3 linked regions of the Alligator mississippiensis genome follow. The protein of the gene in region 1 purifies or fractionates together with the protein of each later gene. This does not show direct contact. Links are inferred from orthologs where the notes say so. Each region holds a gene or a part of one and is shown on either strand. Other genes may lie near its edges.

What was found. The genes of interacting proteins can lie anywhere in the genome.
Region 2: the proteins of IFT140 (region 1) and IFT122 purify together in Homo sapiens (affinity purification with mass spectrometry; 4 studies listed by BioGRID and IntAct, counting the BioPlex papers as one, with this or other methods). This does not show direct contact. The link is inferred for Alligator mississippiensis from reciprocal best matches to the Homo sapiens genes IFT140 and IFT122.
Region 3: the proteins of IFT140 (region 1) and WDR19 purify together in Homo sapiens (co-immunoprecipitation; 3 studies listed by BioGRID and IntAct, with this or other methods). This does not show direct contact. The link is inferred for Alligator mississippiensis from reciprocal best matches to the Homo sapiens genes IFT140 and WDR19.

Annotation. Positions count from the first base shown.
Region 1 is NC_081836.1:29,248,101-29,255,980, forward strand, and holds the start of IFT140 (intraflagellar transport protein 140 homolog), read right to left. Parts: upstream 3,262-7,880; 5' UTR 3,174-3,261; intron 1-3,173. UniProt on the Homo sapiens protein: Component of the IFT complex A (IFT-A), a complex required for retrograde ciliary transport and entry into cilia of G protein-coupled receptors (GPCRs).
Region 2 is NC_081835.1:15,084,293-15,091,687, reverse strand, and holds the start of IFT122 (intraflagellar transport protein 122 homolog), read right to left. Parts: upstream 3,236-7,395; 5' UTR 3,177-3,235; coding exon 3,136-3,176; intron 2,534-3,135; coding exon 2,467-2,533; intron 920-2,466; exon of another isoform or gene 655-919; intron 432-654; exon of another isoform or gene 347-431; intron 195-346; coding exon 110-194; intron 1-109. Other genes in the region: MBD4 (methyl-CpG-binding domain protein 4), read left to right, coding at 3,562-3,599, 4,656-4,904, 5,463-6,331. UniProt on the Homo sapiens protein: As a component of the IFT complex A (IFT-A), a complex required for retrograde ciliary transport and entry into cilia of G protein-coupled receptors (GPCRs), it is required in ciliogenesis and ciliary protein trafficking.
Region 3 is NC_081825.1:50,486,054-50,493,563, reverse strand, and holds the start of WDR19 (WD repeat-containing protein 19), read right to left. Parts: upstream 3,236-7,510; 5' UTR 3,100-3,235; coding exon 3,067-3,099; intron 2,482-3,066; coding exon 2,390-2,481; intron 1,617-2,389; coding exon 1,551-1,616; intron 1-1,550. UniProt on the Homo sapiens protein: As component of the IFT complex A (IFT-A), a complex required for retrograde ciliary transport and entry into cilia of G protein-coupled receptors (GPCRs), it is involved in cilia function and/or assembly.

The DNA of each region.
Region 1 (7,880 bases):
TTCAACCTTTTTTAACAAGTGTACCTCTTCTGTCTCAAAGTGCTAGCTCATGTAACCCTTTATATTTTTTTCTTGTTTTTAATATTACCAATTATGTGATATAAGGCAGTGTGACAGGGCAGTTTTAATACTCTGTCACTTTAAGGGGTAGAGCAGTTAGCTTCCAGGTGTCTGATGAGGGTGGCCATTTTGGAGAGCTCTGGTATAAGAGCAGAGCAGTTTGTGCTCTGTAGTCTTGGGAGTAATGTCACTTGGTGGAGCTCCTGCTCTAGGAATATCTTAGAGGTAAGGGTGAGGCTATGGGGAAGGAAAAGGACTTATTGGTCCTGGACATGCCCTGAAATTGTACCCTGCTGGTATAGGGAGGCTGGGTGGGCCTGCCTGTGGTGGGACAGGGTCACTTATATGTCAGGTTTGAGAACCACCCTGGTGTAAGGTGGGTTGGGCACCTAAACCCCTGCCTCCCACCTGCTAACATCAAAACAATAGAACATTTTGGCATGGCAGGAGAAAGGCAGGCAGTTCCTCCAAGGACAAAGGAGCAGGCTGGTCTCTACTCCTTTAGTCACAGGCAGACTATACTAATTAACATTGAATGCATTATTAATATGTGGCATCTGGCTGGTAAGTCTGTTGTGGGGGGAGGGGCTGGGGCAGGTGCTGCATAGCTGGGGCAGAGCATGGGACTGAGCCACAGGCAGCTCATATGGGAGATGCAGGGGGGGTTGGTTTCTGGCACTACACACCCCAGGAGGGCATGGGGGAGGTGTGCCCTTGAATCTGTGCTGGGTGAGGGCAGGCTACCACTGTGGGCTGGACCAAGGGGGTGCCAGGCTCTTCCCAGCAGGGGGGCTGGGCCAAGATATGCTCAGGGTGGGAGGTGGCAGCCTTGGGAAGGGAAGCAATGCGGGGGCTTCAGCCACCACAAAATTCCTTGATTGCCGATACTGTCACTTCCTTTTATCTGTGCCGATCTGATGGGACCAATGTATTAGTGCACCTCTAACTTTTTTTTTTTTTTTTCCATTCTGTGTACCCCTGGCTGACAACCACTGGTCTAAGACTAGAAGAATTAACCAGTACTATAAGAATTAAAAAAAAAAGTTCCCCAAATGTTTTGTTATATAATCTTTTGGAACTTGACTTGCAGCATAGCAGTCTAAATACTTTTTTTTTTTTTTCTTCTATATATCTCCTCATAACTAGTAACTACATACCTGCCAAAAGTGCACAGCAATGCGATTAACATCATATGAAGTTAACTTTCTCACCTCTCCTCAGGGAGATAATTGTATGTTTAGGAGAACATTATGCTCTCCTATGTATATTGTTTGGAGGGGATTTATTTTTTCTTATTCAGTCATGGTCTGAAGTATTTGTCTGAAGGGCATCAAGTATAGGACTGGAATCTTAATAAAAAAATAAAACTTTTTCAAAAAGGAAGGTTTTTTGAGATTCTGATGCAGCACCTTTTACCTTAAGCTTGCTCAAGTCACAACAAACCAGCATGCTATTTGAAGAGCTGGCACTAGCTGCTGCACCACTTAAATATATGCATATCAGTTTTGATTTGTATTCTTCAAGCTATTTATATTCTCTATGTAATACCATCAGCTGTATTGGATCACACCTCAATTGTCAACCAAGAATGTAGTTTTGATTTTGGGGGGCGGGGGTTGGTTGGTTGTTTTGTCCTACACAAGTCTGACCATTACTGAACTGTGCTTGGCTACAGACTTGAGCTCCTTAATGAATCCATCAGAGATAATAGATCTGGTTTTCTGAAAGGATGTGAGGACTTCCTTAAGAGATTCTGCAATTACCTCTAAGAAATCATCATAAATCCTCTTAAATTTTTAATTCAAAGTTTTGTTTTGTTTTGTGTGTTTTTAATGGGTTTATAAAATCATACTATATAGAGAGCAAAAATGACAAATCTGAGATGGGGAAATAGTATCTGTCCCTTGATCTACAAACTCTGTATTGGGTTTCAAACTGCATGATCAAGACTACTTTCCTTTGGTGCACTCTTACCCATCTACAGCTTCTGATTGGTAAAAGATGCATGTTGTACAAACATACTAGTGATTTGGGTCCTGAACGTGCAATGAGCTTCATGTGGGCAGACAAGCCCCCACAAAACTTGGGGGGGGGGGGAGGGTGTTGCACTGCTCTGCCTGAACAAAGTCAGTGACAGGGCTGGGTTCCTCATTTTCCCCATTATCTGGTTTTGCATTTTATTCCTTTTGAGCAAAAGGACTGGCCCATTCGACCGTTCTTCTTACCCACCTTGCCTCCTACTTCCCTGATGTTTGTGTTTTTAAATTATTAGTTGACAAACAAAGCCCAATAATGGTATGTAAAAGTAAAAAAACACAGGAACAGGTTACTCAGAGAGGTTGTAAACTCTCCATCCTTGGAGATGTTTAAGACCCAGCTAGACAAAGCCTTAGCTGGGACGATCTAGTTGGGGATGGTCCTGCTTTGAGTAGGGGCTTAGACTGAATATGACCTCCTGAGGTCCCTTCTGGCTCTCCTTTTCAATGATTCTGTGGGAGCTGCTCTATCACCCCACAGACTACAACATGGAAGCAAAGTGCTGCCCTCTTCAAGTTTTATTTTAAAAAGGGGAGAAACAGAACTAGCAGCCGTGTTTAAAGGCACTCTGAGTACAAAGACTACGGCGGCCACGGACCACCCCATGATTCTCACCAGGATATGGGGCACCCTGGGGGGCTACCAGATCCTTCAAAGGGCGACGCGAGGAGGGCGAGGCGGGGCGGCTCCTGGCCTCGGCCCAGCAGGCAGGTGACCCCGGCGCACGGGGCCTTCCGGCCACAGGCGCTCTGGAGGGAGCAAGGAGGGCCCGAAACCCGGCCCCGCCGCTCTGTGCCACGGGCGCCTCACCCCGCTCCGCCGGGCCCGCGAAAGCCGCGGGCAGCACCCCGGGGGCGGCTCCGACAGGGGACGGAGCCGCTCGGCGCCTGCAGAGAGCGCTGCGACACCGGCGGCCCGGCCCGCCAGCCGAGCCCCGCGGCCCAGGGGAGCCGCGGCCCGGCCCCTTGCAGCGCAGCAGCACGAGGGGAAGAAGCCCGAGCCGGGTCCTCCCAGCCCCGGGGGCCGCATCGGGCCCTGCCGACCCCCCCCCCGGCCGCGGCCCTGCCCGCTCCTACCGCCGCCTGCCCCGAGAGCGCGGACGCAGCCGCTCAGGGCCTCGGTTGCAGCCGCCGCCGCCGCGTTGGCTCCATGATGCTTCGCGTTACCCCTGACAACGGGGGGAGCACGAACCGGAAGCGCCCGAGCCGGCCCGGCCGGAGCGCCGAGCAGTCACGGAAACGCCCGAGCCGGCCCGGCGGCAGACACGGAAGCTCAGAAGCCGCAGCCGCGCGTGGCAGGGGGCCGGTCGCTCCAGCTCAGGGGTGCCGGGTGCCTGGGGATACCCGCACCCCGCCAGCCCCGCGGGAGCACCGTCTCGAAGCCCTTTGTTTCCTGAGGATCCCCAAAGAAGACAGAAACAGCCTTTTATCATCATCTTCCTTCTTTCTGGAAGATGCGAGGCAAGCGATGCCGGTGACAGGTGCTGAGCTCGGGCCAAGCTGCCTGCTGACAGCCGGGAGCTGCAGGTGAGGGACGCCCTTTCGCCAAGAGTCGTTAACCGGAAGGCGCTGGACCGAATTTGTGTTCATGTTTGTCTCGGATGAAAAGAGAACGGTGAAGTGCTTCAAGTAATGTCCTGAGCACAGTCGGGGGAGGTTGTATTAGCATCGAAAAGGGGACATTGAGAGAGTGTCCGCAGAGGAAGAAGGTCACTCTCAAAGGAGAGGAATCCCAGCCTACACCCATGGAACGACCAGCAGCTTCTGCAGCTGGATCTGTGGCTCAAGACCCATCAATGAGCTGTGGTAGAGATCAGCCCTTGAACTGGGGGATTGCTGCTACCGACTGTCATACTAGGACTGAAGACATAAGACAGCTGGTGTTAGACAGTCAGGGCACAAAGCAGTATCTCGCATGCAGATGTTCCTTTCCATAACACAAATAATTTGCTTTTATATAAATACTTTTCTTCTGCACATTTCAGATCGCTTTGCAAAGGAAGAGAGCAGTATAACAGAGGCAAAATGACTTGATTAAAGTTGTACAACTAGTTAGAAAGTCTCCCAATTCTTACTATAGTACTCTAGCCACTGTAGCACATTTCTTCCATACAAGCCCAAACCAGTGGGAGTTGTAGAGAACATGTTAATGCAAACTCACACCTACTTACTTCAGAGAGTTCAGTGACTATGAGGCCTGAAAGCCCTAATAGGTACATCTCTGGCACCAGCAGCCATTTTCAACACTGTGTCAATTAACCCTATGGAGAAGCATTTGCCAAACTGTTTTTATTAGTGACAGAGGAGACTGGATATTCAATGGCCTGGTTGTCAAAGGTGATGAACACACGCAGCTTCCATTGACTTAAACATGACATGAGACTGCTCCGATCTGGAAATCCATACATTAGTTTGTAAACTCTTCAAGTCACCAACTATGTTTGCATAGTGCCTAACACAATGGGGCCTGATCTGACTGAAGCCTCCATGCACTACTATGAGAGGCTATATTTCTTAATTAAATATCACAGTTCTACAATTCTGTTTGCAACCTCTAAAAAGGGCACAACCTTTTTTGGTTTGGGGAAGAGTTGGGAGATGGAGGCAAAGTATGTTATCACTGAAATGTTTTGCTGTAAAAAAATAACATTTTTAAAAAAATCCAAGCATAATAGTTAATATATAGCAGAGGTATCAAACTTATTCAGTCTGCTGGATGTGGGGCTGGTCTGCAGGCTGAACCAGACCTACAGACTGGCCCTACATTCCAGCACATGTCCTGGAGCAGCCAAAGAGGGTGCTGTGCATGGTCCAGTCCTTCTCTGGCTGCTCCTTGGATGTGCTGCACAGCTCTGAAGCTGCTGCTGCCACTGGGCTGTGCTGCATGCCCCTGGAGCAGGGGCTGCACTCCATGCAGCAGCCACTCTCTCTCTCTCCAGGGCACAAACTGGAGCAGAGACCATCCAGCAGGCCCCAGATGCTACCTGTGGGTCATTCTGAGACCAATGGGCAGCACTAGGAGGTGTATATTAACCTAGAAGGTGTGCAACTCCTTAAGATCTAATCCTAATGGTCTGTATGAGCACATCCCTGTGGCTATTCATAGCCCCACTGAAGTCATAGCAAACCCATGCATCAGAGTCTTAGGATCATGGCCAACATTTAAACAAATAATCAAAGGTATGATTTATCTTCTAATTTTTAAATGGTAACTTCAGGTTTATATGCACAAAATGTAGCTGCCAGCTTTGACCATGTACATTCATTCAAATGATGCATCACACCCCATTAGGCACAAATAGTGCAGGGACTTGGAATTATGTGATTCCATCAGAAAAGAGATGGTGTATATTATAAAGGAGGCCAAAAGTTTCATCATAACCAAAAATGTAGATGGGCACTTGCAGAAAAAAAGCTCTGAATGCTGGTGCACCCTGAATTTAACAATACTTCAATTAATGTTAGATTTATTTACAAGATGAGGACTTCCTGTAAAAAGTATTTCTACTATTGCTTCAACTCTTGGAATCCCCCTACATGATATACACTCTATAAACAAGCAGAATTAGAGAGGTAAACCTGGAAATGATCTCAAGAAGTCTAATTCACTCCCCGACCAAGATAGGATCCAGTATGCCTAAAACATTTCTGGTAGATGTCTAACCTGTTCCACAACCTCCCTGGGTAATCTATTCCAGTGCTTAACTAATAACTACACTTACAATGAGAAGATTTTTCCCCAAATATCCAATACGCAGTCACTGCTGCAGAATTTGCATTCTAAACAGACATATTAAGCCCTGGACTAATACTTTAAATCACAAGGATTCCTCCTCCTATGTTAAGATTCTCTGAATCTAGCCCTTGCAAAAGGTGCTAGGTCAGCTATCCAAGGCTGCTAGAGTGTTCTGATTAATAACGGGCAACACCCAACACCTTCATCCCTGGTTTTAAAAGAATGCTGCTAGCACTCTGTCATGTCCAGGTGCATCCTGGTACACTTTGGAGGATCAGCAATGGAGATCTGACCTCTGTTTTAAGTCCTCTTACCTCAACTGGAAAGGACAGAAACTGCCACAGTAACAAGAGGACTGCCTACAATAATTTATAAAGTTAAATGACTGAAAATACCTTAAGAGAAAAGAATGTCATGAATGACATGTCATGGTATCAAATATAAGGTGATCAAAAAAAGATTCAGAAGTATGTTTTATATACTGATGGCTTTTTTATAGCTGGGAAAGGGATTAAGAAAAATCTATTATTGGCCATATACTATACTACTTTATAAAAATAAACCTAGAAAACTGATGCAAATATTAAAAGGTTGCATCTCAATTAAGATGAGGAAAAATAAGAATTTAAGTTTCTATGGCGATGTTAGTTCTGCTGCATTGCACACACAGTATTTTCTGTCCCTGTTCTTTTAACACACTAAGTGTATATAATTTGTGCCATAAATTACACAAGATATGCAGTGAACCCCAAGTTACATTGCCACTTTGACTGTGATAATGTAACATTAAATTTACAGTTAATTTGCATTCTATTTTTTGTTTGTACAAGTTTATCATTGGCCTGCCTTTTTGGGCCCTATCTACTACAGAATGAAGGAAAGTTCAAATGTCTTTAGCCTCCACACCAGCTTCTTATCTCAGTTCTTGTCTAAATTGTGTTTTAAATAGGTCCAATTTCTCCAAACTCACAAATAAGTAACTTTACACATTAGCAGTCCAACTAGAAGCGCTAGGATTACTCAGGCATACAAAGTTATTCACATGCATGTTTGCAGGATCAGAGGTCCTGCACTGTGAGCTCCTTGGAGATCTGAATGCATTGAATTGTGTAGGTTAGTAAAGCACCATGTAAATTTACACACTGTGTAAATATAAAAAGCATCCTGTTCGATTTGTTAACTTCAGCTGTGACAGAGCCACGTTTCAAGCCTCCTTGGTTTGACCCATATGGCTATTCAAACCATGGTATAAGACCAAAACACTAAGGCAGAAATAAAGACTGGGAAATATTTGTTTTTAAAATAAGGTTATTTACTGTACAATGTTATAATTTTATTCAGTAACTTGGATTAGAAACTTCTGTAGTAAAAACTCTTGTTTTTACAGCACAGACAAGACTATAAATACACACATTTCCTTATCTGCAAAATGAGCATAATACTTACTCAACTTTTTAAACAATTTAATGTAAAGAGTGATACACCACAAAAGGATAAAGTACAAGCTGTCCTCTCCTGAGATAATCATTTGTCTGCTACAGGCTACAGTGCAGGTCCAGATTCTTTGCACTAAGACCCTCCTTGCTTAAGTCAGGAGTGGATCCAGATTGATTCAGCTACAGGATCCAACCTTAAATTTGTAAAATTATTTTGACCTTTAACACTTGGAATGTTAAACTATAATATAGCCTAACCCCATTTTCCTGTCTGTTGTAATGACCCCATTGTTGAGTAAGAAATTAAAAAACATTGGGAAGAAAATTAACCTATCCTTTGAATAATGTATGCAATATAGATTTTCACAACATTTTAACATACTTCAGAATGATATTCAAGTATGTTATGTTATATTATTTCTCTAACAAATTACTAAGTTGCCAGTGAAAGATAGAAAAAACCCTTAGACAATTAGTACAAAGTGAAAGATGCCTGGGGATCATTTTACTGGCAACAAATATTTAAGTCAAAGTGCATAAAATACTCTATACAGTAGAAATAATCTGAAAACAGGTGAGAAATAGTATATTAGTGAAAATACTTTCAAACCT
Region 2 (7,395 bases), on another chromosome or scaffold:
ACAGATACACTACTTGTGTTTCAGGAGATGATGTACACAGAGCAGCAGCTGGCACAGGAAGTTACTGGTATTGAGCATTCCCCAAGAAAGCCAGAAAGGTGTCACTTACCATCTTTAGCATAAGCCACACAGTACACTGTGTCTTTATGTCCTTTCAAAGGCTGAATTAAGGTTCCATCAGATGTATCATATACCTATATAAATAATAATAATAATAAACAAAGAATAATATAAGGCCCTAGTCCTCCAAGGAGCTCTGTGGAACTGGGGCCTAGAAGTATAAGAACTAAAGAACTAAACAAGAGTTTAAAATTTTCAAAGTGCATGTTTTTTTTTTTTTTTGCAGTTTCCCCATTTAGTCAGTTTCCCCCTGTTTGAATGAACCTTTTACATAGCAAAAAGAGACAGATCTTACTTATATCTACAAAAACGTAAGTAAGACCTTATTCTAAAATCTTCATACCAGATTTTAGTTGTGGTAGCTACAACTACTTGTCTTTTGAAAATGGCTAGCATTTAAGTAGATGCTGCCTTTTAATATACTAGAGCAGGGGTAGAAAACCTTTTCCAGCTGTAGGCCAGAAGGATTCACCCCTAGCCAGAAGCTGATGAGTGCTAGGGCCCAGTCACAACCACCACTTCTGTCCCTCTTAGTGACACAGGGAGAGGACCCACAGTCAAACATCTTCATGATTGAATACCAAAGCCCTATGTCTGTGGACCAGTTGCAATGTTTCCAGGTTGCTGACCTCAAGGTTAGAGCACGCATTTATTTCTAAGCACTGACAGCCAGGTATTATGTCATGGGAGAATAAAGGTTAAAGGATCATATAAACAAAGGTCATTTATCTAATGCTCTCAGGCAGCTAACTTGGATAGTCTGTTTTATACTAACCCCTTCCCTCATGTCATCAAAATCTTTTTAGGCCTAAAGCAGGGTCGAGCGAAATACAGCCTGTGGGCCTGATCCAGCTCAAGCACTGTCATCTGGCCCCTGGGGCCCCTCAACACATTGTGCCCCACCCAGCCCTTCCACCCACAAGGATCGGAGCGAGGCACTCGCATGTACACAGACCCAAAAATGTACCCTATGGCCTCGCTTCCACCCTCGTGACCAGAAGGGCATGGCAGGTCAGCGTGCAGTTTCCATGCAGAGTTGCTGCTGCTGCAGCTCCCCCCAGCTGCAGGTAGGAAAGCAGTGGGGGCGGGGCTTCAGCTGGGAGGGAGCCCCAAGCATGGGGCTGGTGGCAGTGCGGAGCCTGTGCCCAGGGGGTGGCAGCAGCGCAGAGCTGGGGTGGGCAAGTGTTTGGGTGTGAGGGACAGTATTGGGTGTGGGGGACAGTATTGGGTGTGGGACCCCACCCCTGCCACTCCCTATAGTGTGCAGCCCTGGCAGGCTGAGGGAGCAGCAGCAGGTGGGGCACTTAGGGCACAGGTGCCCAGCGGGACATGGCTTTGGCCAGTGCAAGGAGTGGCACAGCCTCCGTGCACCTACCTGTATAGCCAGTGCTCCCAGTCACTCGCTTGCAGCCCCTGCATTTGCACAGCAGAGGAGGAAGCCCCACGTACTGGAGCCAAGTGCCTTCCCTGTTGGGGATGCTCAGCATGGGAGAGAAGTTTCAGGCTCTGGATATAGGCAGCTGGGTGGAGGCTGTGCCCCTTGCTGTAATGTACAGTGCTGGCCAGAGCGATGACCCATGGGCAGTGTGGGGGGGGTCTCCACCCCCACCCTCTGCACCCACACCCCCCCACATACACACAACCCAACATACCCTATGCTCCTCCACACAGCCATACCCCCTCACAACCTCCCAAACACACATCCACACCCCCCCACCCCATAATGTTCAAAAATAAGGTTTTATTTATATGCAATATATACAATCGCCTCTATATACACACAACACAAACCCAAACCATGACAAAAATATTTTTTGTAGTAAAGTTAAAAGATGCTATAGTAGGCATTTGACTTCTAGTGTATGATTTTGGTTTTTTTTCTAGTTCTAAGATGGCACCCCACCTCCCAAAAGGGGGATTTCTGGGGGGCAAGGGGAAGGACTTCCAGTAGGAAAGGTCAAGGGTTAGGGGGGGTGGGACATCCAGTCCCAAGATGGTGACAAGGGGGCTGGGCAACCGACAAGGAGCTGGACTATCCATGGGGCCCTTGACAGCACACCAAAAAACTCATGAAGCGGCCCTCCACCTGAAGTAATTGCTCGCCCCTGGCCTAAAGTCACATGAAAGAGTCCTCATTTAAAACAAACAAACTCCAAAAAATGACACACTGGAAAATGTTAGTATATTTTGAGGCCATCTATAACTGAAGGCCACCGACAGGTAATGGCAGATTGGGAAGGCAAAGAAAGGAGAGCTCTCTTGACAGTTGTTTCAACAGATTAACTGAATGCACATCAAGCCCCCACCGTATCGCTGCCGTTGGGAAAACTTAAAGCGCTCTCCTACCAGCAGTCTGTTTCCCGCTGCAATGATCAGTTGCGTCCCATCGGGTTTAAACGCAAGGTCGTAGATGCTGCAGAGAGAAACCCAAAAGGGAAGGTTTACAGGAGCACGAAACAGGACGGGGAGCGATCGCGGAAACATGCCGCGGTCCAGCACGGCCATGGCCCAGCTCCACAGAGCAGGTCTCGCGTCCCGTTATTACGTGGGTGACGACGACCCATCTCCCCGAGCTAACGAGAACGTGCCCCAGGCCTCGCCTAGGCCGTTCTGCCAGCTGATGCCACCTGACAGACCAGGACGCGGGCTGCTCTCCGCACCCTCTCAGCCACCGCTCTTGGGGGCAGTGGCAGAACCGGGGCGGAGGGCAGCGCAAGGCTGAACCGGGATGGAAAACACCGCCAGCGAGGCAGAAGCGTGCAGAGCCACACCAGAGTGGACAGAAGCGTGCCAGTGCGATGAGAAAGGCACCATCGCGCTGAGCCCCGTGTCCCTGGGCAGGGGGCCCCAGCCCTCCAGGTCCCGGGCCGGGGTCCCCCAGGGGACAGAGCAACAAGCAGAGCAGAGGCTCGGGCAAGGGGCGTGGCCACCTGGGACAAGGGGGCGGGGTCACTCGAGGGAAAGGGGCGGGGCGCATGCCAACATTCGCTGCCCTCCCCCCAGCCCGGCTCTTACCACTGCTCCGCCTTGTCCCGCCACGTCAGCGCCGCCCTCATGCCGCCCGCCGCCTCCCTCAGCGGCCGTCCTACCGGTCCCCCCCCCGTCAGCCCTCTTCGCCCCCTTCCTCGCTCCCACCCCCCCCCGCCGCCGCGGCTCCCCTTCCCCCGCCGCCGTTCGTTTATTTACATGGCAGCGTCCCAGGCAACGCGCATGCGCAAGGGGCCCACTCGGCGCCGACGGGGAGGGGCGGGGAGAAGTGAAGCCAACGCCCACACCGCGCAGGCGCGGAAGGCGGAGCGTCCGCTGCGGAGTACGCGGACGTCTCGTCCGGGCGCATGCGCAGGATGTTTTTGGGCGGTGCTACTCGCTTTTGGCGGGATCGGGGCCGCGCGTGCGTCGCACGAGCCTGCGTGTCATCACGTGACGCTAAGATGCCGCGACATGGCGGCCCCGGAAGTAGGGGAGCAAGGAAAGGGCAGGTAGGGTTGCTATGGCTACAAGCGGGGCTTGTTCCCACCACTGTCCTCCGTAGCTTGGTGTCATGCGGTGGGGGGGGACAGGTGATGTCACGGAGCGGGGAGGGCACGCAGGAGTGACGTCACTGCTGTGACGTGCGGCTTCGCGCCTGCGAGGGGTGCTGATGGCGGCTTTGCCCCCCTGGCTCAGGGCCGCTCCCCCCTCCCCCCCACACAGTGCTGAGCACCCGGGGCCTGCACCCTGCGCTGGGCATCGCTGCAGCCCTGAGGGGAGGCTGGAGCGGGTGCTGGGCCAGGGGGTCCAGAGCCCCACATGCTGCTGAGGTGCCCCAACGTAGCAGCCAAGTGCCAGGGTCCCACAGGCATCTTCACTGTGATTCAAGCGAGGGGCATATGAGTGCCTTCCTCGCCCCTGTGGGGCCGTTCGGGCACCGCCTCGTCCGCCGGCGGAGCCACGCCAAGAGCCTGGATCGGAGAGAGGGCGTGGAGCCAAGCCAGCCGGTCCTTCCTCTCCAGCCCACGTGGCACGGGCACGCGTGTGTCATGTCTTCAAATAACAGCATGCTCACGTGGTACATGACAGACCCCTGGGCTCTCAGGAGGGCGACCGGTTATGTTCGAAAAGGATGTGAGGAGCACAGCTAGAAACCTGTTTTTTCAAAAGACCGGTCTCGGCAGTTTTTTCTGGAGGGCACGAGATGGTCGAGTCCCGAATCGCCCTCGTTTATCTCCTCATGGTTATTACAGAGTACAGGACGAGGGGTGGCTCGTGTCAGATCCAAGATCAGAGCAACCACACAGCTTTGCGTGTATGTGCATGCACACATACATACGTAGGCATACAAATATATGCTTGTTTCACATAGGAAAGGCTGATCGTGCTATTTCTGTAGCTCTGCGGACATCTGCTGTCAGAGAGAACGAGCTCAATCTTGCATATCAGATCGTGGCTGGCTGTTGGCTGGTTATTTTTTTCATTTCTCTGCAGCTCCTGAAATATAGCAGTTCTGATTAGAAAACCTGTCTGGAAGGATAAATTTTCTTTTTGTTTGCCTTCAGTGACCGAAGTGACATGCAAACAAAAGATGAAGGAAACCAGTTAGTGACAGAGACAGAAGAACATTTTGATTCACAAACCGAAGGTACTGAGACCATAGCCGAGAACAGTCTCCTGCGTAAAGAAGATGCAGCTGTTGTCTCTGAAGTGGTTGTTGCATGTCACAAAGTCGCTCCAAATGGATGGGAGAAGATCACAAAGCAAAGACAATCAGGCAAAACTGCAGGAAAATATGATGTTTATTTTATCAGGTAAACATTTCTAGCAATCCATCATGAAAGGGGAACAGTAATTTAAATGTTTGTGCCCTTGATTTATTCTACTAGACAGAAAGTATGTGTTGCAGAACAGAGGCCTTGCTGTTGCATGTCTTGGGTTCTTTCCCGAGTTGTCACACAGGTTACTGTGAGGCTTAGCTTAAAGTCAAGAGAAAAGTTCTGCATGATTTAAAATGAGTCATGTTATGACTTTGTGCCTCGTACTAATAAGATGCAAAGCTATAAATAAAACATTGATATGCCTTAGAAGCATGTTGTGAGACTGTAAAATGCTTAATCAAGTGTGTAGGATACTATCACACATTTTCTTGTTTTATAACAAGTATTTTTTGATCAATTATTAAAAGAAAGATTATCTATAAAGGCATATTCAGCTAACCTTCCTTTTCCTTAAATATTAGTTTAGATTATTTCTTGCAACATGAACCAGTATTTTAGCTTATGTTTAGAAAAGGAGGCTGCATTGCATATTTTTTAGATTAAGAAACAGAAACAGTAAGTAATCACTGATCATATACCTTTCTTTCTCAGTCCTGAAGGAGTGAAGTTAAGATCGAAACGTGCACTTGTAGAGTATTTTCATAAAACTGGAGAAACCGGTCTTAAACTAGAAGATTTTGATTTTACTACTCCTGCTCAAAGTAATACCAAGGTGAGAGCCAAAAAATGCAGTGCAAAAGCTGTGAAAACCGCAATACAGAAAAAGGAACATGACAATACAAAACAAGAGTTTAGTGCACAAAATGGTAAAGGCGGTGGTAGTGTTCAGGTACTTCAGACTATTGATGAAGAGCAGGAAAACATTTCTGTCACGTTCACCCAGGGAACAGAAGACTTGGTCGTTAAAGAATGTAAACCAAAGGATGATTCTTTGGAGGTTAAAGAAAATGGGATAATTGAAAAAAGAGTTCAAATTAAGAAAGCTAGAAAAAGGTCAGAAAAAAAGAATCCAGCTTGTACCCAGAACAAAAGACAGAGAAAAATACCGTGTAATAAACAAGAAGTTGACATAAATAAAAGCAAAACATTCCAGAGAAAGAATAATGCTTGTGCTTCTGATAGTGGTGATCAGAACTCAAATGATGTGGATACAGGAAAGTGTGGGGGAGACTCAGGAAACGCATTGACATCGGACTCCCAATCAGAGGTGAATCTTGGAGCAGTCTTAGCTCACTCAGAAGAGGCATCAGGAACCACAGTGGAGTTAGCCTGCTCAGAGAGGAGTTCTGATGATACAGCTACAAAAGACTCTGAGGAGAACTCTGCAGAATCAGAATTTGGGCAGGGGAAGGATGAAATGCTTTTGCAGAGCCAGGACTTCAAATCTAATGCTCAAACAGAAATCAGCAGTTCACAGCCTTGTGACAAGAAAAGTTTGACATCAGTTAAGTTGCTGAAAGGTATATACCAGTGTTTCTTATCTCTTTTGATACAGGACACCCCTCGTTAGACTCGAGGCAGGTCTTGGAATATACCAACTGTTCATTTCCTCTTGTTTTTTTCACTATGGAAAATAATACAGCAATTTTTCTGGTGCAGAGAATTCAGAAAGGCTGCAGGTCAGAATGTTTTTAACACTGTGGTTTCCTATTTGTAATCTTTGGGTTTCTCTTGTGAATCATATTTGCACACCTAACTGATGTTTGGCACCCTGGAAAGAATCTCCAGGCAACCAAGGAAAATGTAGCACCCTGGTGGGAAATCACTGGTAGATGCATTTTGGATCAGAGCGCTATTTTAGAATTCAGTCAAGCATGCTTTCTAAGTAATAATAAAAAAGAAGTATGTATTTCAGTCTTCCCTATTCTACGATTGGCTGTAGCTAATATTGTTGAGGTGTGTTTGCATGGAAGTCTATATAACCTTTCTAGCACTGGTGTTGTACAGTATCACATATTGCTGTATCTAAGGACACAGGTACACAAAAAAGTTACTATAAGGTGAAGGAAGACGGGGATATTCACGGTAGCAGCTTCTCTGTGGTAAAACCACATGAAACTAACCCCTGGTAACTTTTTCCTCTGAAAGAGACATAAGTTACTGTGGGATAATTTACCTATGCCACTAAGTCAGGCTGAACACACAGACAATTACTACACAGTAGCTCCTGTACATTAAATCCCTGACTTTGTTTTCCTCATGATAATTTGTTTGTAGTTTAGTACTGGAAGTGCTCTATTCATATTGAGAACTCGTTTTGAGAAGTTTGTCTACTTTTAATTCAAGTAATACAGCTAAACTTGTTCAGCTTTCTTCTGGTGATAATACAGTAATTCCTGGAGCAAATTTAGGTCTCTGGTGCTCCTTTGTAGTCCCCAGGGGCTCACTACATTGAAAATTTATGTTAAGGATGTGTCATTTAATTATTTTTTTTAGCAGATGTTGAAATACACTAGACACTGGGGTGGATCCACTGCTTTTGTCCATGCAGCAGTGCCAGTACAAGTGTTTGTATTTCATGCAC
Region 3 (7,510 bases), on another chromosome or scaffold:
TATGTAGAAGCTGCTGCATTAGCACAAACTTCAACTAGTCTTATGACTTCTTCCTCCTCCTTTCGCCTTCACAAGTAGCCTACCACCCTAGTCCCTCCAAAGATTCTGGGGCTGGTGGGCCTCCAGCTATGTCCCTTATACATAAAATATGGATAAAGAATTATAACTATGTCACTTAACTATGTCCCATGAAAATATGGATTTCACCAAACTATAGCACTTTTTAAAGCTACTCAACGCAACCTGAAAACTCGCTTAGTACTAATTAATGTATGAGCTTGAGAAAGAGCCACACTGATGCAGAAGAAGGCTGTAGCTACAAGAAGATCCTAGAACTGACACAGGAACAGAGATATCATAATTTGTAATGAAAGGAGATGAGCATTCTGGAGGTACCTGTACACTAAGATCATAAAAAAAATCTCTGCATCTGAAGTAGGACTATTTTCCTTTTGTTGTAGAAAAGGATTCAGAGACTAAAGGACTGGGAGATACAGAAGGGGGAAGTGGTCACTTGGTGTACCTAAAGACATGGGAGTGGCAGAGCGGACTATCCACCCAGAAGCCTAGCTGCATACCCGGAATAAAAAAAGGATGAATCCTGGGATAGGAGTGTCTGTATAAATGTCAGCCACTTCTTGTATTCTGGCTACAGTCTGTGAGCTTAGGCTCACACAGAAATTATGAGCCTCCCTCTATTATTGGAAGGAGGCCATAAATGCTAGCAAGTGATTCCAGGGGACAATAAATGAGAAAATAGGCACAGGAGTGTGGGTCATAAGTTAACAATAAGTGTTTCAAGTGGGGGTAATGAGCAGAATGTACTACCCAGCACCCACTGACTGCAGTCAGGCCTATCTGTTATACAATGGGGAAACAGTGAGCCAAGCACACTAAGACAATTATAGTTAGGGAGGCAACTAAATGCATAATTACTAAGTACTGGGAACAACTAATGAAATAACATGGAAGTTGTAGGTTCATCACAGTTGCTCCAACTGGCTGCAGGCAGGAAGCAGAAGTACAACAAAACTAGCCCTGAGTCTGAAAGAAGCCATTTATTGTCTTCTATACTGTGATACTGGCATAATCTCTCAGCTATTGTTTTTTTGATTAAAAAAAAATTGTAAAATATATAAGAAAAAAGGTTTTAAAACTGTTGTATGTGCGTTGAGTGAGAAGCATGGAATCTCACTGCTTTACCAGACAAAATAAAATAAATGATATTTAAAAAAAAAAAAATTGTAAGGAATATGAATTGTGTTCTTGCTCTCTATTCTGGGCAGGTTTTGTCTTGATAAAATAAAACAGCCTGGTAGCACAAGATGACAGGTAGCACCAAAGATGACAGGTAGCACAAGACACCGAGATACATCATTGGTACAGGAACATAGTATTTTTTGTCGTTATTTTATTGCGAAATCAGCCCTGCCTCATGGCCGCAGCTTGATTCATATTCCTTATTTATACGATCATGTCCTTAAAAAAAAAAAAAAAAAAAAAAAAAATGTATTTTTAAGAAAGCGCTCAAAACTTATCTCAGTACTTACCCTGGTAGGTTAATTTCATTTCTCTTCTGACCATGACGATCAAAGATTTTTACAGTGTGATCAACACTAAAAAAATTGAAAAAGGATTAGCAAATAAGGGAAACTGAATTTTCTTTGTACATTTACAAATATCAGTAAGAATGTTTTCCACTGATCTTTCATATCCCTGTGATCTGGTTCCCAAATTTAATCTATGACTATTTGCAGGGGTTGGGTCAGTACTTTGAGCTATTTTCACATCTAATAGCTAATGCTATTTGCACTTTTCAATGATTTCTCTGTACACATAAAAAATATTTAAAGTTGTTATGCACTCAGTTGCCTCTCTAACACAGGCAACTGGTAGGGGAGGCATCGGGGGGGAGGTGGGGGGGAAGAGGGGGGACACGACACTACACATGCCCTCGCTGACAGGGCTGTCCCTGCCACTGACACCTCTGGCAGCTTTTGCGGGCACTTGCCAGCCCCATCCCCACCACTGATGCCTTCTTTCACAGGTGCTCACCAGCCTTGTCCCCACTGCCGCAGCTAACTTCTGCAGGTACCCCCCTCAGACTCAAGAGGCACCAGTCACACACACATGCTCCCCAACTAAGAGAGGCTCATAATTCCCTTAGTGGACATGGCCCTTTGTTTCTCCATTGCATAAGAACTAGGTCTGACTGCAGCACAGTGGGTGCTGGGTGGTGCATTCTGCTCCATAGCCCTCCTTGAAACATTTATTATTAACCTATGACCTACCCTCCTGTTCCCATTTTCTCATTTCGTGTCCTCTGAAATTGCTTGTTAGCTTTTACAACCTCCTTCCAATAGCAGAGGGAGGCTCATAGTTTTCTTACCCTGTTACTGCAAGAAAATTTCCTAAAGTCTTCTGCCAGGTTAATTGCACTGGTGAACCAAGCAAAGACTTTTCTGAAAGAAAAAACACTCGCTGGCGGGGGGGTGTGGGGAAAGGGAGGGCAAAAAGAAGAGAATTATTAACTTTAAAACAGCAAGTGTTGAAAAAACAACGTAGTAAAACACCTAGGCACATGTTAATAAAGGGCCCTACTACACATGCAGATAAAGGCGCAATCAGCTCTAACGTGAGATCCACACAATTGTGCCTCCTGCCAGGCCACACGTGCGTGACAGGAAGTGTGACTGTGGGATCGCACATTAGATCCTCTTGCTTACTGCTGGTGTAGGGGGAGCCTGTGATCACCATCCAAGGTTTCCTCTGCACCAGCTCCCATGGCTGTAAGGCTGCCAGGTGACGCACTGCGGTGCTCACAGAAGGGGCAGCTGTCCCCACTGTCAGGCGGCGCAGAGAACGAGCCTTGGGAGGTGCGGGGCTAACAGAAGGGGGTGCTGCCACCGCTGTGAGCCCAACTCACCGGGCTTGCAGCACGGCAGCAGTCTCCCTGCTGCTCCACTACAAGCCCCGCAGCCAACGACACTTCCCCTGCTGCGAGCCCCACAGCCCGAGACTTGTGGGGCGGTCACCCCTGTTCGTGGGACACCCGCAGCTCCACACCTGTTCCGTCAGGGCGGTGCCATTCCCGCGCATCGCGCCCGGGGCCAAACAGCGCAGCCGACTCAGGAGATGCCGCTGGCGCCCGCAGCCCGGGCGACGGTACAGGAGCTGGGAGCACCGTGCGGCAGCGCCCCCGCACCCGCCGCCTCACGGGGAGGCCTCCGTAGCCCCGTTCCGGCCTGTCGGGCACCGCCGGCCCGCGCAGTAACGGCCTCAGCCCCTCACCTTCATCTTCCCAGCCGGGACGCGCCTGGCAACCTCTCAAGTGCGCATGCGCACCGCACCCAGGACGGGGGGAACACGTTTCCTCCAGCTAACAGCGTCTCTGTTACTCTGGTAACGGCCGGGGGACGGAAGAGCCTGTTGTTGTCTAGGCCAATCAGAGCGAGCGGGCGTGGCCCAACCCGGAAATGTCGTTTGGATGCGGTGGCGCGCGCTCCACAGTCGCCTCAGCAACTAGCTCCGCCCCCACGCTGGGAGGGGCCGCCTCTGCGCCACTGCCGCTGAGGGGCGGGGCTTCCCGGAAGTGAGCGGTACGGCATCAGCCCTTTCCGCTGTGCTGCCCGCGGTCCCCTCGTCGGGGGCGGGGCCGAAGCGCGGGTGTCGCCACGAGGGGCGGGAAACGTGCATGGCGCAGCCCGGTCTGCGTGGGAGAGGTGACAGACCTGGGGCACTGCCTCACGTTATATACCTGACCCAACTCACAGGTGAATCCCGCAATCTATTTAGACTGTGTGACCTGCAAAGTAAGTCACTATTGTGCCATAAAAGTGTCCATCCCACTAGAAAGGGAGCCAGCCCACTACAAAGTTAGTGCTCGAGAACATGCACCAAACTTCAGAGCTGGTTTCTATCCAGGTTTAACGGGAACATGTAGTAGGGCCCTTCGTGACCAGAGGAAGGGCTGCATGCGCCCAACGCCTTGTCTCAGCGTGTAGCTGTGTTTGGCTAAGGACATAGGCAGAGTGCATGCAAGAAAGCCATACCAGCTTCTTTACTACTCATTCCATCCAGGATGAGCACACACCAACTGCAGATGCTTCCACAGCCGGACGAAGGGTATATATACCCAAAAGCTTGCAAAGATTTTTTCCAACTATTTCAGTTGGTCTAATAAAAGATACCAGATTTACCCAAAGAACCTTGTCTGCCAAAAGCTTGTCTGACACCAACTCTATTACTAGATAGGTGGAGAGGGAAATTTGCAGCAGGACTGAGGAAGTGATGGTACTGCTTCATATGGCATGGGCAAGTGAACTAGAAGAGACTAGTCCTAGGGTACCCATACAGTACTTGGAGGTGAGGGTGGGTACTTTAATTACAGTGGTTCCCAGCTCACTGTCAGGTGTAGAAGCCCCTATTCTTTTCAAAATGGCCACAGGGGGCTTTAAAGTTAGTCCAATGAGCTTTAGTTAAAAGTGCCACCATCACCATTTTGAAACATGTGAGGGCTTATACAGGTGATGGCGAGACATGCTGGAACATTCTAATTAAAATGTTCGGCAGACTCAATTAACTGCTCCAACACATTCAAATTAGAATAGCATGTCTATACGAGTGTCTGCACTTTCAGAGAAGAGCTACAAAAATCACCCATCTGGAAAAGAGGCAAATGCAAGGAGTTTAGTTTATTCTGTTTATAAAAAGGAAGGTGAAGCAGCACCTTAGATCAGATTCTACATACATTCATCCTACACAAAAGCCAACTTCATACATTGCTGACTATAGACATTTTGGAAAAAAATTGAATTCTCACTCAAATTGGAATTCAGAGTGAGGGATTTATCAAACCCACAACTATACCTTACTCTTAATTACAATTTGAGTGAAAGTTTTCATTCACCGCCTGCTCCCAGGAGGTAGGTGATAAGACTTGGATTCATAAAAGTCTTACAATGGGAAAAGGAAAGGCAAATAATGCCTAAGATTATCACACTATTAGGTTAGGGAAAGAAGTTACACATAAACCAGTATAAGTGATCAGAAACTGGTTTAAACCTGTAACAGAACAGAAGGTCAGAGCACATAAACCAGTTTCAAAATGGCTGAAACTGGTTTAAGATAAACCTGTTTCAATGTAATATCACACTTAACTGATTTGTGCCAGACCAGTTTATGCATTCGTGATGTATAGGGGGTGCATGCGGGTAACGTGCACCCCTTATGAAAAGGCGCTGACGACAGTGTTGGCAGTGCTGCATGCAGTCGCCATTCGCCAACCCACCATCGCCACTGACGGCACTAGAGACCAGTCAGCCATTGTCGCTGGCTGCCAGAAATAGCTGCTGTCTGTGGTGTCACTCCCCCACACTCACAAATCCACCCCTGCCAACAGAGCTGGCGGCATCTGCAGGAGCTCCCTGTTTATTGCCACTACACTCCCATTGCTGCCGCCACGCCCCACCAGCTGCCGGGGCACAAGTTGTTTATAGGTTTATCAAACTTCAGTCCCAGATCCCTGCCTGCTTCAAATTAAATCAAACTGCCCCAGCAACCCAGCAGGCTTTTGTGCCCTGGCCTGGGCTCTCTGCTCCAGAGAGCAGGGTTGGCTCCACCCCTGTGCTCTCTGGCTGCAACAGTGAGGGCTGGGTTACAAGGGGGTTGGGGGGCATATACAGAGGCTGAAAACAGGAGGCAACACAGAGCCTTGACCTGGTAACCTAACGGCCTTCAGCTCACACCGCAACCTATCCAGCCACAGACATGTCCACCTAAAGCACCTGCCTACGCAACCACAGCACCAGCTGACTCTGGTCACAACAAGCCAAGCATAGCCCAGCAACTTCAGGAGGCAAGAGAAAACAAAAAAATGGTAAAAAGAAAAAAAGATCAACACATCTTAGAACTGGGCCTTCTGTCCAGAAAGAGGGGCCATTATCTGCCCCAAACTCCCTGCTTTTATCTGCCAGCCTCATGCTGAGCCTCAGACATGCTTCCCCTAGTGCCCAAGCCAGCTGCCTTCTTACCTGCTGGGGCCTGACCCTTCTGGGGTGCTCAAAAACTGAAGAAAAAAACCTGGAAAAAAAAAGTTACCCAACCAGGGTATGCTCAGCTGGGATGGGCTTCACCTGTCCCCCAAAGGTAAGTGTGTGTTTTCTTCTAGGTTGGGGGATCTCCTCTGGCGGGCTTTAAACTAGGCTCGTTGGGGGGAGGGGAGTACGAGGGCAGGGGAAGCTGTGGACCACCAAACCATGTGGCACCCACGAGGACAGCCCAGCCTGAAGAAGGAGAACATTGGAAACCTGAAAGCCATGCGGAGACCAGCACTACAGAACAGGTAAGAAACAAGAAGGTAAGAAACAATGGGCCCCTTGGGACTTGGAGCGGGGGGGGCAGCAAAGGCGCCAGTCGCAGGGCTCAAGTGCCTATATACTAATGCTAGGAGCATGGGGAACAAGCAGGATGAACTAGCGCTCCTGCTTGCACTAAACACCTATGACTTAGTGGGGCTAACAGAGACCTGGTGGGATTCATCCCATGACTGGGCAGTACATATTGAGGGCTATAGATTGTACAGAAAGGACAGGTCGGGGAAGAAAGGGGGGGGGGGTTGCACTTTATGTCAGTGAGCAATATACATCAACCCTCATCAAGACAGAATCCGAGGTTGAGGAAGTAGAAGGATTGTGGGTTAGGCTACATGGGGGGCAAGGAGAAAGGGATTTGGTGGTAGGGGTCTGCTACAGACCCCCACACCAAGGGGAAGAAATAGATGCGGGGCTCCTGAGGCAACTCTCAGAGACCATAAAAGCTAAAGAGGCGGTAGTCATGGGGGACCTAAACTACCCGGACATCTGCTGGGAGACGCAGACAGCAAGGTCCCATCACTCACGCAGGTTTCTAACCTGTGTACAGGACCTCCACCTGACACAGGAGGTGCATGGTCCCACTAGGGGGAATGCCATACTGGATCTGGTATTGGCAACAGGGGATGACATGATAGGGGACCTCCAGATCGGTAGCCATTTGGGAGACAGTGATCACCTAATAATAGAATTCAACATAAGACGGCGAGTGGGTAAGGTAACTAGTAGGGTGAAAGTGCTAGACTTTAGGAAAGCTGATCTTAATGCACTCAGGCGATTAGTCAAGGATGCACTGCAGAGTAGGAGTTTTGAAGGGATGGGAGCCCAAGAAGGGTGGCTGTGCCTTAAGGAAACGATCCTTCGGGCACAAAGCAAGACGATCCCTGAGCGAGGCAAAAAAGGGAAAGGGGCCAGGAGGCTTCCATGGCTGATCAGAGAAATCCAGGGCAGCCTAAGGGCCAAAAGGGGAGCACATAAAAAGTGGAAACAGGGTGAGATCACTAAAGATGAATATACCTCCTCTGCTCGTGCTTGTAGGGAGGCAGTTAGGCGGGCCAAAACTACCATGGAGCTGAGGATGGCAACCCAAGTAAAAGACAACAAGAAATTGTTTTTTAGATATATTGGGAGTAAAAGGA